Coturnix japonica: one gene and its partners. The protein of the gene in region 1 interacts with the protein of each later gene in a biochemical or structural test. Links are inferred from orthologs where the notes say so. Each region holds a gene or a part of one and is shown on either strand. Other genes may lie near its edges.

Evidence for each region.
Region 2: the proteins of GNAI3 (region 1) and GPSM1 form a complex in vitro, tested with the Homo sapiens proteins (2 studies listed by BioGRID). The link is inferred for Coturnix japonica from reciprocal best matches to the Homo sapiens genes GNAI3 and GPSM1.
Region 3: the proteins of GNAI3 (region 1) and RGS18 form a complex in vitro, tested with the Homo sapiens proteins (2 studies listed by BioGRID). The link is inferred for Coturnix japonica from reciprocal best matches to the Homo sapiens genes GNAI3 and RGS18.

The regions. Positions count from the first base shown.
Region 1 is NC_029541.1:1,617,336-1,621,391, reverse strand, and holds the end of GNAI3 (guanine nucleotide-binding protein G(i) subunit alpha), read right to left. Parts: intron 3,260-4,056; coding exon 3,130-3,259; intron 2,956-3,129; coding exon 2,802-2,955; intron 2,459-2,801; coding exon 2,268-2,458; 3' UTR 2,266-2,267; intron 2,199-2,265; 3' UTR 1,264-2,198; downstream 1-1,263. Other genes in the region: GNAT2 (guanine nucleotide-binding protein G(t) subunit alpha-2), read left to right, coding at 1-72, 196-349, 434-624. UniProt on the Homo sapiens protein: Heterotrimeric guanine nucleotide-binding proteins (G proteins) function as transducers downstream of G protein-coupled receptors (GPCRs) in numerous signaling cascades.
Region 2 is NC_029532.1:6,447,350-6,452,446, forward strand, and holds part of GPSM1 (G-protein-signaling modulator 1), read right to left. Parts: intron 3,294-5,097; coding exon 3,072-3,293; intron 2,625-3,071; coding exon 2,489-2,624; intron 2,187-2,488; coding exon 2,044-2,186; intron 1,174-2,043; coding exon 1,050-1,173; intron 219-1,049; coding exon 103-218; intron 1-102. UniProt on the Homo sapiens protein: Guanine nucleotide dissociation inhibitor (GDI) which functions as a receptor-independent activator of heterotrimeric G-protein signaling.
Region 3 is NC_029523.1:3,552,137-3,557,740, reverse strand, and holds the start of RGS18 (regulator of G-protein signaling 18), read left to right. Parts: upstream 1-1,989; 5' UTR 1,990-2,230; coding exon 2,231-2,349; intron 2,350-3,037; coding exon 3,038-3,139; intron 3,140-5,604. UniProt on the Homo sapiens protein: Inhibits signal transduction by increasing the GTPase activity of G protein alpha subunits thereby driving them into their inactive GDP-bound form. Binds to G(i) alpha-1, G(i) alpha-2, G(i) alpha-3 and G(q) alpha.

The DNA of each region.
Region 1 (4,056 bases):
GGGGTGACGTGCATCATCTTCTGCGGGGCACTCAGTGCCTACGACATGGTGCTGGTGGAGGACGACGAGGTGGTGAGTGGGGGGGATTCATGGTGGGGACATGGGATGAGGGGCTGCCACCCCCCAGCCCCACACTCAGCCCCATAGATCCACCCCACACTCAGCCCCACATTCTGCCCCTCTTTTTGCTCACAGAACCGCATGCACGAATCCCTGCACCTCTTCAACAGTATATGCAACCACAAGTTCTTCGCCGCCACGTCCATCATCCTCTTCCTCAACAAGAAGGATCTCTTCGAGGAGAAGATCAAGAAGGCGCACCTCAGCATCTGCTTCCCTGAATATGATGGTGAGTGATGGGGGGAGATGGGGGAAGGACCCCATAGCACCAGCATGGAACGGCACCAGGGAAACCCCACTGCTGCCCCCCCAGGTCCCAACACGTTTGAAGACGCGGGGAATTACATCAAGACCCAGTTCCTGGATCTGAACATGAGGAAGGACGTGAAGGAGATCTACTGTCACATGACCTGCGCCACAGACACCCAGAACGTCAAGTTCGTCTTTGACGCCGTCACAGATATCATCATCAAGGAGAACCTCAAGGACTGTGGGCTTTTCTGAGCAGGTAGGGGGTGTGGGGGGGGGGGCTGTGAGCCCAGACCCCAAGAGCTGGCAGCAACGGGGATGGATGTTCCCCCTCTTATCTCCCCCCTGTCAGAAGAGCCGACTGCAGCCCCACATCCCAGTTCTGCTGCGCAGAGCCAAGAGGACGACACACAGAGCTCCCCAACCCCCCACTTTTTTCTATGAGCTGCCCCCCCCCACATCTGAGCCCACACTAGGAGGGGCCCCAGCCGCCCTGCCTGCCCCACAGCACAGCTTCCTCTCGGGCAGCACCCACACATTGCACAGAGCAGGGGAAGAGGAAACGGGCACCGAGGGCGGCTGGCAGTTCTGCTACTTAGAGCTGGATGTGCTCTTTACCGGTTGTAAATAAACCCGTGGTGCCGTAGACAAGCCCTGTACGCTCTCATCTTCACTGCAGCCACCAAAGCAGCTTCACTTAGGGAGAAGAAACGACCGAACCAAACCAAACAATAAAGAGATGTGCATGAATGGATGTCTGGTTTGTCCTGTGCTGAAGGATTCAGGCACAGCTGGTGGGACCCCACATTGCAGTGGGGCTTTGAGACACACCAACAACCCACAGCCCCCCCCCCCACACCCAGAGAGAGGCACAAAGGAGGGAAAGGACCCAACTGTTCACTCACCATTTTAATACTGCCAACAGCTACAACAGATCAGAACTGTACACAATGAGAGCCCCCCCCCGAGCTGATGGGTCAGCAAAGGAATGGGGCTGATGGGGTAAGGACGGTACTACAGGATGGCAAAGGGAAGGGGTGGGATTTGGCACCACATATACAGAGTAAAGGCATGCTGTCCATACAGACCCTGCACAGAAAGGCTGTGGGAGATGCACAACACGGTGTGCCCTTCACCAAGCTGCTGTGTCACAACACGCAGCCTTCAGTGCCGCTCCTGCCCTCACCGTGTGCCACCGAGACGTGGCCAAAGCCACATAGAGCTGGGTCAAACCCACAGCACAACTGGCCTGTAAGACATAGAGATACGGAGCTCTGACCACAGCGAGTGTTAAAAAGCAGAGTTCCTGCTACGAGGAAAAGCTTCGGGCACGACCTGCTCACGTGTGTGCATAGATCAGTGAGTTTCTGTTGGTTTTATTTTTAAAACAAGAACCTTTTTTTTTTTTTTGCGAAGAAAGAAAAGACAGTTTAGTAAAGTTATAGTTATCTCAATGGGGGGAAAAATAAAACAAAAACAACCAATGAAACACCTTTAAAAACAGACTAGTGGTGGGTTGGTAACTGAAGAAAGAGAGAAAGCTACATATGGAAGGCCTGGAACCCAGCACCTCGACTCCACACCAGCTGTACACCATCGGCTCACGCCATCCACACGACGTCAGGGCGACGCAGAAGGTCCCACGGGGGCTGTAGTGCCCTGACCCCAACCCTCAACGCCCCCTCATCCATCCCAAAGGTCCCTAATACAGAAGGTTGTGCTAAAGAACGCGACGATTCTGCATGCTGCTTTCAGCCCCCTGGTCCCGCTCGCGCCGCTGTCCCCACGAGGCAGCAAAGTCTGCTTGTGCCAAGGGAGCTCTGTAAGAACTGCAGGGAGAGCAGTGAGCAGAGGGAGCAGCACGGCCCGGCCCTGCCCCGCACCGCTCTGCTTTACCTTCAGTACAGCCCGCACTCCTTCAGGTTGTTCTTAATGATGACGTCCGTGACGGCGTCGAACACGAACTGCACGTTCTTGGTGTCGGTGGCGCAGGTGAAGTGCGTGTAGATCTCCTTGGTGTCTTTCCTCCTGTTCAGGTCCTCAAACTGACACTGGATGTAGGCAGCCGCCTCCTCGTACGTGTTGGAGCCTGGCAGAGATCAGGTCCCTCACTTCAGCCAGCAGTTCACAGCACAGAGGGTTTGGCACACAGATCTTTTAAGCTGCTCGCAGCCATCTGCCTTATCCAGCTCCAAACCAAATCCACTGGTAACCCTCCAGCCCTGCAAACCTCAGCTCTGCGAGGTGCCACCCCAGAAGGGATCAGCACCCATGGGTGGGCTGGGCAGCACCACAGCCCCATGAGTACAGACACAGGCTGGGCTGCCCAGCACAAACCCTATAGACAGAGCCACGGCCACAGGACACAGCCCTGGACTCCAGCCCTGAGCCTGGAGACAGGAGAGCCCACCCCAGCTATGTGTGCCCCCCACCTGTGTACTCGGGGAAGCAGATGGTCAGGGGGGACTTCTTGATCTTCTCCTCAAATAGGTCCTTCTTGTTGAGGAAGAGGATGATGGACGTGTCTGTGAACCACTTGTTGTTGCAGATGCTGTCAAACAGTTTCATGCTCTCGTGCATCCGGTTCTGAAAGGCAGAATAAAAGAGGGTGATGCATCAGTGCAGAGGTATTCGGGGAGGAGGGGTGGGGGGCAGACAGGACAAGGAGCACATTACAGCAGCAAGCAGGGCACAGCCTGAGCCCTGTTTCCAGCTCTAGGGCCATTGGACAGACCCTGGGACCCCCCCCCTATATTGTACCATTTCTTCATCCTCGGCCAAGACGAGGTCATAGTCACTCAGGGCCACACAGAAAATGATGGCCGTGACCCCCTCGAAGCAGTGGATCCACTTCTTCCGCTCCGACCGCTGCCCACCCACATCGAACATCCTGCAGAGGCACAGCACACACTGAGAGGCCACACAGAGCTCTGCCCTGACACGGGAGGTGGGGGGGGCTCATGGAAGGGCCTGGTTTGCACTTCAAACCGAGCACACAGCCTGGGAGCAACACAGAGCCCCCCCTCAGGACCCCAGCGGGCTCTGATTCTCTTTGGAGCCATTTGAGCAGAACAAGCCAAGGTTCAGCCATCAGCTGCTGATTCACAAGGGCACGCTTGTTTTGTTCCCTGCCTCCCATTTCCTTAGCAACAATCCAGTTTGCTTGACTGGACTCCAAACACCTACTCACATCAGCTCTTCCAGTTCATTTACACTGAGCCTGACAAAGGTTTATCTGGAGCATGGCTATCTACCTGCACACTGCTGCTAAAAGAAAACCACTGTGAGGTCAAGAAACGCTTTTATGCATGGAAACAAAGAAAGAAAGAAACAAACAGGTGAGCTGCTGCAGCTCAAAGCTCAGTGTAGGAGCTCCTGGCTATGAGAGCACTGCAGTGCAGCACCTCGGCTGATAGCAGCACTGCTCTGCTGAGACACAGGGCTGCCCAGAGCCCTTCAACCCATCGTGTATCCAAGAGGCACAGAAATCATGAGCACGGATTTGTTATCACAGCAAACACGCAGACAAGGGGGGCACTGTGCAGCATGGGCCAAAAGCAACACAACGCGGTGACGTCAAAGCAGAGAGCCGCAAGAGCAGCTCTGCTAACTCCTGTCTTCTATTTAAGGCAAATGCCCGCTGGTTCCCAGAAGGAAAGAGGAAGATCTCTGCCCAGATAGGGGCTA
Region 2 (5,097 bases), on another chromosome or scaffold:
GCAGTTGGCACCAGGTCCCATCACCTCCCCATAGGCCTATGAATCCCCTGGGGTTTTGCAGGGAGCATCTGCCCCAAGTCTGCCTCAGCTCCTGGCACTTACTTGTAGTATTCAGCAGAGATGTCAAATCTCCCAAGGAAGATGTGTGCATTGCCCAGGTTGCTGTATGCTCTCCTCTCAGCTGCTTTGTCCCCAAACTCCTTAGCAATAGCCAGGCGCTGCAGCAGACACAGATGAATGAGTACAGGTTGGCAATGCCAGACTTCTGTTACACAGCAACTTTGCTGGGAGATTAGCTTCTTGTTTTGTAAGAGTTTACATCCAGACGCACAGCGGTGCATGTGCACATCAGGGCTGGATGCAGCAGGAACTCTCTCCATCTTTTGCAACTCAGCATCAGGAAGGACACAGAGCAGAGACATCCTCCTGCAACTCCCATCCCAACATGCTCTTTTTGGCTCCAAGAAAGGGGCAGAACAACTCCGTGCAGCCCCTTCATGTACCTTTTTTCACAGCACTGCTGTCCCCAACACCTTCTCAAACAAAACCAGAGCAGCTCTGGCAGGGCCTGACTGCCTGATATACTCAGTACCCTCCACTTTGAAAGAAATAGTGTCAGCTCTCAACAAGAAACTGAATTGCATTTGAACTGGGGCAGGGACTGCGTGGTCTCACCCCTCTGAAAAGCTTCACAGAAAGTAGCTGTGCTCTACAAACAACAATTATTCCTGATCAGCAGCTCTTTCAGCAGCTTAATTGGATTCACGGCTTGCATTTATTACAATTTAGACTGGCACAAATTAAGCACAGAAAAGCCTTTCCTAGGCCCAGCTGCAAATTGCCCTTAGAAATCTCCTTTGGTTTCCAAGCCAACAGCACCCTTCCCTTACACTGCTCATCAGGTGCTGATGAGGAATGCAGTAAGGCAGCACAGCACATCAGGGCAGGGGCTGACACACATGGGGGTCTGTGCCCCCCACAGCTGAGCAGAAAGCCTGCTCCCTATTGGCCCTTCCATCCCCCAGGGAGATCCCCACATGCTTTCCCACCTCCTTGTGGAAGGCAATGGCTTCGCTGAAGTTGCCAAGCAGGTACTGCGTGTTGCCAAGGTTGCCATAAGCACGGCCCTGTGCAGCTCTGTCCCCCAGCTCCTTCACCAGGGACAGGTTCCTCCTGCAAGGAAGCAGAGCAATATTTGTCCTCCCACAGTCAACCTACAGCACAAGGGTTGCTATGAGCATCAGAGAAGAGATATTATCCCCAGCAAGGCAGGAATGAACCTGAGGATAGGGGGAGATTTATATTCCCTTGTTATGGTTCTTCCCAGCACACACAGAGCTCTCAGTGGCACTAATCTAATCACTGCCTGTGCAACATGCATCACTCACTGGGGAAAGGCTAGCGAGCCACACAGCAGCATTAACACATCCTCAGGTATGAGGAGATTGATGCAAGATCTTGGTGTTCTCTTCATGTAAAAAGCTATTTAAAAAAACACCTGTGTTACTGAAACAAAGCTGAGGTAGTAAGAGAAAACTATTGGCCTAAAAGCAAGCTGGGCAATAACCTTCCTGTGCTGAACATCAGAGTGAACTCTGCAACTGTTTAAGAAAGGGAAGGATGTTACAGCAGGATGAACTACAGATCCCTTCCAAGGGGAAACACTGCTCCAAAGGAAAAGCCTCATCCTTTGGGAGAAGCAGCTCTGTTTGTGGCCATAGCGAGATGTGCAGGGATCCATTCCCACCAAGGCCAGCAGAGAGCAGCAGGGGCCGCAGGAGCTCTCCTCCCAGAGCAGACTATTGAACTTCAGTGCATGCAAAGTCAAGCTGCAAAGGCTTTTATTGAGGCACTAGTAGGAAAAGCTTTAGCTCAAGCTCTGTAAAAGCATGCAGCCCTTCCCTTGCCTTCCTTGAGATGAATTCATTAGCATAACTTGGCCCCTCACAGTTGGAGGAACATTCCTACTTGCTAACAGCATTTTATCAGTGACTGATGCCAGTTCCCTGCAGCACAAAAGGGTGGCCACACTTGAATACTTACTCATAGTATTCTGAAGCTTTCTGTAGCGTCTCCTTGACTTCTTGAGGCAGGCAGCCCGGATCTTGGGTCATGTTCCAAGATAAATGCTTTCCCTTTGCATGGTAAACATTTCCTATGTTATAGAGTGCTCTGGCTTCACATATCTAAAAGAGGGAAGAGAAAGACACAGCAAGGCATTACCCTCCCCATCCCAACATGACCCTTTCCATTGCTGAGAAGAGATGCTCAGCCAAAGCCCACATTCTCCTTTACCACCCTCACTGCCATGCCAGCTTTGCCCATCAGCAGCATCAGATGGGGTCAGAAGGGAGAATCTGACATCCCAGCTCCTACCAGGGCCCACATCAACCAAATCATCATTCACTGGGGCTTGAGGGTGGATTAAGCTTCAAGACAGGAAGGACACAGAGCAGAAACATCCTGCTGGATGCTATGGAGCAGTTACCTTGTCTCCCTGCTCCTGAGAAATGTCCAGGTGTCTCTGACAACAAACAACAGCTTCATCAAACTGCCCAAGTATTTTTAATGTATTCCCGAGGTTGCCACTTGCCTTGGCTTCTCCAATGCGGTCCCCAATGGTTCTACAAGATGACCCAACAAAGGGAAAGGTATTAAAGAGCTGACAGACATTTATTCATCAACTGTTGGAGGCAAAATTCAAGTTACAGAGAGCAAAGTTGTAGCAAACACTGCATGGTATGGACACCACATCCAGGTATCCCCAGCTTCTCTTGACACTCTTGTTCACTGTTTTGCTTTCTCGGTTGGAGACTTCTAATGGCTTCAGGTGTGCTTCCCATGAATGGGGAGGGAAGAATCAGACACTGCCATGTTCTTGCTCCAGCCACTCTCCTCCATATCCCTTCCTCTGCCTCCTGTGTTCTTTATATGATGGTGAATTCCACACCTCAGAGCTACCTTGGACGCTCATTTCTAGGGTAGGTTCCCTCATCCTGTTGGGCTCCGATGCCACAGAACTTTCCTTTGCTCAAATTCTGCTTAGGATGAAGAACAGCCAACACACTTACCTGGCCAGTGTGAGGTCATGCTTATGGTACTCCAGGGCCTTGGAGTACTCCTTTAGGTAGAAATAGGCATTGCCCAGCTGACTGTAGATGGCACTGAGAGTCTTCAGGTCCTCTGTCCCCACCTGCACTGCTGCTTCAAAGAAGGCTGCCCCAGCTTTGAAGTCCCCTGCCTTACACAGACGTTCTCCTTCCAGAGCCAGCTCCAGGCAGGATGCCTCCATTCTGTCAAAAGCAAGATGCCCACCTTTAGACCCAGTGTGCCCATGCCACCATGCAGTGGTTAAAAAGGCAGCTCAACATACATCTAATTACTCACTGCATCAGGAAAAACTCCTGCATGTGAGACAGAAGCACCCAGAGCTACAGGCTGCACCTGTGAGCGGCCACAAGCAGCCCTTGGGTTCGTGGTTGGAAGCAGGACAAGGAACTCGTGCCTCCCAGTGCCCACATTGCGTGCTGGCATCCTGAGCATAGCATGGCATCTGCTCTTCTTCCAGAGGGTGCATAGCACAGAAGTCTCACACTTGGGCTGCTCATGCGTATGCAGCTTTCCCAGGGGAACAGTAAGGGCAGCCAAAGCCCAACACCTCCTCATTGGATACCAGCACAATCCTGGGCTGCACACAGCTCCCTGGCTGAGCAACTGGGCTGCTTTCCATTAGCTCTGCCTGTCACTTTTTCCACAAGCACTCTGCACATCAGCCTGCAGGCAAGCTGCTCTCCCTCCTGTTTCTCAACACCTTTGGCAGCAGTGCACACTGGGCTGTGAGCACAGAGGAGCAAGGCTGCTGCCACTGGAACGCCCTGCTCCCCACTGAGTCCTACATCACAGCCACCCCCAGGAGCTCAGAGCAGCCTTGAACCCACCAGGACAGGGCACAAGTATGAGAGCTTGTGTTTGGAAAGTCAGCCCCTCCAAGACAAGGGGGTGGATGCAATGTGTTCCTGTGTCTCTGCTCAGAGCCTTCTCTTCACTCCTTTTGGCTTTTTTTCCCCCTTTCTGCTTCATGTATTTTAGACACTCAGAGCCACATGGGTCAAAGGCAGATGTCTGCTCTGAAAAATCACAGCTCACTCATCCCGAGTCAGAAGAGCAACAGTCAGACAGAAGATGATAAACACCCAAAGGAGACTTCTATTCTATTCTCAGCAAAACAGCACTGCAGGGAGTTCAGTCATGCTACACAGATTGAGAACAACATGCGTGGTACAGCTGCAGCCCCACTGCTGCCTCCTATACAGGCACACATTGAGCCCTGGGAGATGCCTCCCCCAAAATAACACTCACAACACATCCAGGGCCAGCCCTGCAACCTCTCCCATCTCACTGCTCTTTGGTCCCCAAAGCCACCAAATAACAGCAGGGAGAAAGAAGCTGTTTCACAACCCCTGAGAGTTCCCACCTCAACCAACACAGCTCCTCCACAGCCTGCACCCAAGGGGCTCTTTTACTTGTGCAAGAAGGCTGCTTGTAGTGCCAGCGCAGCATTGCTCCATGCCTGAAGCCCTGTTTGATACAGGAAAAAGGAAAATGTTTGACTGCTGGTACTAAAAATGTTTAACTCCTCTCCACAGTACATTGAGCCAAGCCACAAGAAAATTAGTAAGAATGAGCTTCTGCTGCAGAGTGTTGAGTTCAAGGGGCCCATTGCAGGATCGTGGCGAGCTGTGTGGTTTGCAGATCACTAGAGCAGGCGATGTCAGGAACTGACAGACATCTGCCAACGGTCCCCAAGAAGTTTTGGGGCTGGAGAAAGAAAATGAACACCTAAATGAGCAAAAAAATTCAGGGAACTTAGAGAAGAAACTTGAAAGGACTCAAAATGTGGGGAAATGGAGCCACTGTCACAGGAACTGAGGTTGGGAGGCTGCAGACAGAAGCAGACTCTGAATAATTTTGTTTCACATTTCAACAGTCAAAGCTCATCCCAATAACCAGGCTCTCTTCAGCAGCTTGAGTTCACCCAACATAGAGTCTAAAAACCAAACTGGAGAACAGCTTGCCTAATTCATGGCGTTGCATCCA
Region 3 (5,604 bases), on another chromosome or scaffold:
AATTTCTTCAGAGCTTTCTAGGGCTGAAGTCATGTCATCCACATCATATTCCAGGTCTGTTTTTTTCTGGCTTAAAATAACGTACTCTCTTTTCTAGCTCGTCATCCTGCAGTATATAAACCAGCCCAGAAGCATTTACGGGGTCATTAATACCGTTGCTATAACAACTGCAGCCTGCAGTGCAAAACAGAAATGCTTATTAGCACCAGCACCATCGCTGACAAAACACAGGCTGACTTTAATGTCATTTGGCTACTTCAGGGACAGGGTTTAATATTAGCTTTCTTTTCATGGAAATAAATAAATAAATAAATAAAATAAAAATAGAAAAGAAAGAGAGAGAAAAAGATTGATTGCAGTGATTCTGTATTTTCCTTCTAAATGCCCAAATGAGTTCTCGGGAGCTGCACATCACAGTGCTGCGCTTGGGCTGATACCATTGTCACACTGCAGTACAGTCATATTTTAAGAGGCATCGTCTGCCTTGGAGTCATGTAAGAGTGGACTGGACAAGGCCTTCAGGCACGCACTGACAGATCATTGCATACACAGCATTACAGAGCTGTAAAAGCTGAAAAGATTCCATGTGACCATCTCTGTTAATGAAAAGTGAAATAAAATAATGCATTCTATGTTTATTTTTGTACTTATTGGTAAAAGGCAGGATATGTTACTAAAGACAGCTGTGGTTAAAGAGTCCTCAATAGGCAGGATGTGATAAATTAGCCTACTCTGAAACTGAAAATGTAGTTTAAAACCATAACCCTTCTTCTCAAAGGTGCTCAGGCTACAAAAAGCAGTTCTGCACTGAGTATTTTCCTTTCAGTCTGACCTTAAAATGTGAGTCACAAAGGTAATACAGAGTAGCTTCTCTCTGTTCCTTTAAAATAAAATATAATCAGTATATACACATATAGAGAGAGGGAGTGGTTATATTTCAGGAATTTGGAGATGCAGATTTTTTACATTCTTTGGACTCCGAGTACTTCCCCTCCTCCTCAGCCCTGCAGTCACAAGGAAGGGACCTGAACTTAGTAGCATGTCAGTAAGTGCACAGAACCAGCCAACGCTGTGGGAAGAGGATGAGGTCATGCCTTCTCCTCAAAGCCAGGTATCTTATCTGAGTTATCAGAATGAGTCACTGCTGTTAAGAAGAGGAAGATTCAATGAACTATGGTATCGCTTAGCTATAGCGAGGAGACTTTCTCTGGGACCATCATGCCAGTTGCTCTTTTCCAGCCTCTTATTCAACTAACAGTGGTTTCTTTGGTGGATTTATTATTCCTGTGGCATCTCCAACATAAATTGTACTAGAATGAGACATTTAACTGAGAATGAGCTTGTATGTTAAGAGCTAATTTGTGACAATTAGCCTTACAAAATAGCACATTTAGGTTATGGAAGCTGAAGTAGGAAATTTTTAGTTATATGGTGTTAAAATGAGAATAAATCACTTTCTTGTGTATGTGTGTGTGCTGAGAGTGTTTTTACTCAGGCTGGGAGACTGTAAGTCAAAATAAAGCCACAAAAGATACATGGGAAGCTGTAAGTGGACAAGCTTGAAATTAGCAGTAGGTGTTCACCACTGCTGAAAAATGATGCAAAGATCAAAATATATCCTTACAAAAATATTTTATCAACCACCAGGACAGCCTCAGAAATGCCAGGTTTCCTGTTAGCATGTTGTAGGTAGAGCTGACTTTGTGTCTAGCATATGGCATCGGAGACTGCAGAAGGCAATTTAAGGTCATCTGGAAGTTCCTCTAGGAGCTTAAGGGTAACGTTACCCATTTTGTACTACAAAGCGATTCTCATTGAAGTTCATTTTAGAGGAGCCATACGCACTTTTCAAACGTTTTTTTATGGGGAGAAGATGGTGGCATCATCCTAATGATTCTAGCATGTGGAGTTCCACAAACACTCTGCTAAAAGCTGTGTTTGTCCGTATGAACAGCGGCCATTTTGCAGAGTTGTAATCTCACTTCCTTAAATGACGACTGTAAAAGCAGAACTCTACTTCAAGTCCTGTGTGCGTGCAGCTGCAGTGACAGCTAAGGTGGTGAACCTCCTCCTTCCCACTACCTGCTCTGGAAACTGATCTACAGCCAATTGGGGGAAGCCAGCCTGAGACAGCATGAACACGCCTTGCTGAACACACCGCTTATACAGATGAAACCACTGTAAGGGAGTTAAAGGAGCGTTCTGTAAAACTGGGAAGCTTATTTAGAAGATGGAGAACCCACTTCTTTTGTTCACTCAACTGAACAATTCTGCTTCGAAGGATAAATCCTATTACAAAGTCACGAAAGCAACAGTTAAAGAAGAGCCAAATAAAGCAAGCAAGCCTGGGTAAGTTTTAAGGTCATGCTGACACTTTGAGTGTTGTTTATGCAGAGGATTCTTCTAACATAGCTTGTGGGTGTGAATTTAGGGCTCAGATCTTTCTGGTTTTGACCAGCATATGTGAAAACTGGTGAACTGCAAGCCTGGGAATTGTAGACATGAAATATTCATTCAACAAGGAAATATTTTTTAAGAACAAGAAACAAATAAATAATAAACTAAGTAAATGGGAAAGGGAGGCTTCACAAAGTTCTGAAAAGGGCTTTTTAAACCCTTAGTGTGAGCTGGAAAATATTCTTTGTAAAGACTTCAAGTGTGAGGAAGCACTGCTTCCTTTTTTCTTTGCAGAACATTAAAAGTAGAAGATGCTGAGCCAACTGTTTTGTGTGTCCACGAACTGCGTTCATGTTCCTAATATGAAATCTCATCCTTCTCCTTCAAGATTAGTGGAAAGTGTATTGGAAACAAAAAGATGCCCACTTCTGTTTGCCAGTGCTTCATATACAATTCATGTTAATGTCTGAAAAAGAAATTAATTAATGTGAATAATATAAATAGGAGAAGTAGTGGAAATATTAGTGTAAGTGAACCTGTGGTGCAGAGGCAGAGATATTAGTCAAAGAAAATGCCTGGAAAAAAAAAAACCAACATTTTTACTAAGGTTGATTTAAAGGCTACTTGAACTCTGTTGTAGAGCAAAACAGAAGAGAAACAGACTGAGCCTTCTCCTGCAGAAATCTGAATTACATGAAGCTGAACATCTTGGTAAACCAACGAGCTTGACAAAAGCAGCAAGGTAGGCATTATAAAAGGCAGAGACAATGGGGATTCCTTCTAGGAAGTGTTGGTGTGACCCAGAACATTTCCTGCATATGCGTGTGTGCATTCAGACTTGGCAGAGAGTAATACTTTGAAAATCTGTTTCATTTAGAGTTGGCTATCGAACTCAAGCATACAAATGGTACAGAATTATCTGGCCTAGAACAAGGGAACTCACAAGCAGTGTTTTCACACCACTAAGTGCAGACTGTTACCTAGACATGCACATATACCAAAATCTTTACTCACACCAATGGTGTTTTTCTTAGCCCACTGGTTATCCCAAGCAAGCACTTACTCAGAAATAGAGGTGAAAATTACTGTTTAGAAGGAATTATGCAGCTCCTGGGATAACAGATATTCCAAAGAATTCTGGATGCATGTGAACTACTGGATGCATAGTTCCTTGATAATCGCATTATTGACAAAACACCGTCTCGTCTCCCAAATTCAAATACTGATGTTTCAACACTGCTGTAATATTGTCTCTGTGACACTATTTCCCATAAAGACAAAGTGGGAAGTATTATTTTTTGGTAAACTCAGTGAGAACTCACTTAGTTCTTGACCTCACCAGGACACCAGAATCTTAGAGATGTACAAAGAATTTGTAGGTCTTGAATGAAAAGTACTGCAGAAGTACTGCAACTCCGAGGTCGAAAAAATTAGTAGCTCCCTTCTTTCCACTGCAGAACACTTTAGAGATTCCCATCCCATTTTTAAGTCTTGTTAACGTTGTCTAAGCAATTACTGCTTTGCCGGCCAAGATGTATTGCTTTGACCAGAATGCCTTCTCATAGAAGTAAACATTGTGGCTATCCAAGTGATAGCACGTACTCAAGAACTGGAAGACTTTCCACGCTCCCAGGGGAGGATTTCATTGCTTTCCACCTCCCCTCTCTTTCTTTGTTGTGTTGTTCTGCTTAATTCTACCGTGGTTCTACGGTTCACTTAAAAGATCTTGAAGCTATGAACAAAGGTAAAGGACTGCAGCAAACAACCTTTTTCAGTTCCTCAGTTCCAGACACATAAAACTGTCCTGAGATTGTACCTAAAATGAAAAAGCACAGCCTCCACGCCACCTGTAGGCAGATGATACCTTTTCAATGCTCATATTTATTTTGGTGGCTGATTACTGCTGGGTATTTCATACCCAGTTTCTGGTTTCTCTTTGTTATGGCAGGAGCCCCTGGTGTGCCATTGCCTTGGGGATCTGTGAAGCTACTTTCTTTCTAAAAGAAACTGAAGAAATCACACTAGGAGTTGTCAGCAAAGGACCTCTCCCACATTCTGTGCACTGTTGGACTGTGTATGTGCTCTGAAGCCATCAGGGCTTATCTTTCACCATTACCAAATTCATTTCTGTGGCTGCAGTAGCCTGTTATTCCCAGATGTACAAGCACACACGGTTCAGAGAACTGCACTCTATGTACTTCCCATAATTAAAAAACTCTGTGAGGGAGCAAGGTCTCACTTTCCCCGACTCCAGAATTCCCCTGCTTTATTGGCCTACGTTCATTTTTCACATTTCAGTTCTCCATTATTTGTATGCCTTGAGAACTGTTTGTCTCTCCCTAGCTAAGAATTTCATTCCTATAAACAATTACTTCAGCTAAGAGACACATGACACCTGTAAAAGTCTAAAATAAAAATCCTCCTTTTACTTATTATACAAAACCAAGAGCATTATTGGCTTAAATGCCCTCTCATAGTCACTGGAATTTCCCTTGGACTATATTTCATGTGACTACAGATTTTGCCAAGGGAACCCAAGCTATGTAAATCAGGCAACAGAAAAAATGTGAGCCTGGGGCAGAAAAGAGGCATCACTTCCAAAAGCATTCAATGCAGAACAAGTTCTTCTGGTTTTCAGCTCCACTGTCAACTAACACTAGACAAGCTGCTTAAATGAGGACATTCCCACTCTGAGTACAACACTATGTGACCAAATGAAAATGGTTCTAAATGTTAATATCCATTCTTCACCTTCAGACTTAGAAGTCTGAGCATGATAAAGTTAATGCCAGCCTTGTGCCTGTTTCTGTATTATGCCAGTCTGTGTGTGCAGGGAAAACCTACACAGAACAGAGTGGTTCCTGAAAATTTTATTTGGAAGAATAGAATTATTATTACTTTCCTACCTGTATAGTTCTCTAAGATGGAATATTGGAAATAATTGGTAAATACATGCAACTTGGCACAGATGATGAAGAATACCTGGAGTTTTATAAACTGAGTGCAGCATCTCAGAATCACGTGACATTTGAGACGTGTCTGTGGTGAACAAACCAGACTGTATGTGCTAATACCCTAGAAAACTATCACCTAGACCATACCACTACAGCTTCGTCTTCAGCCTACTGAACTTCCCGTACTTCATTGCAAATAGGCTGTGGTAATGCAGGCTCAGAACCACATCTCGGCAGGACTATTTTTTATGAC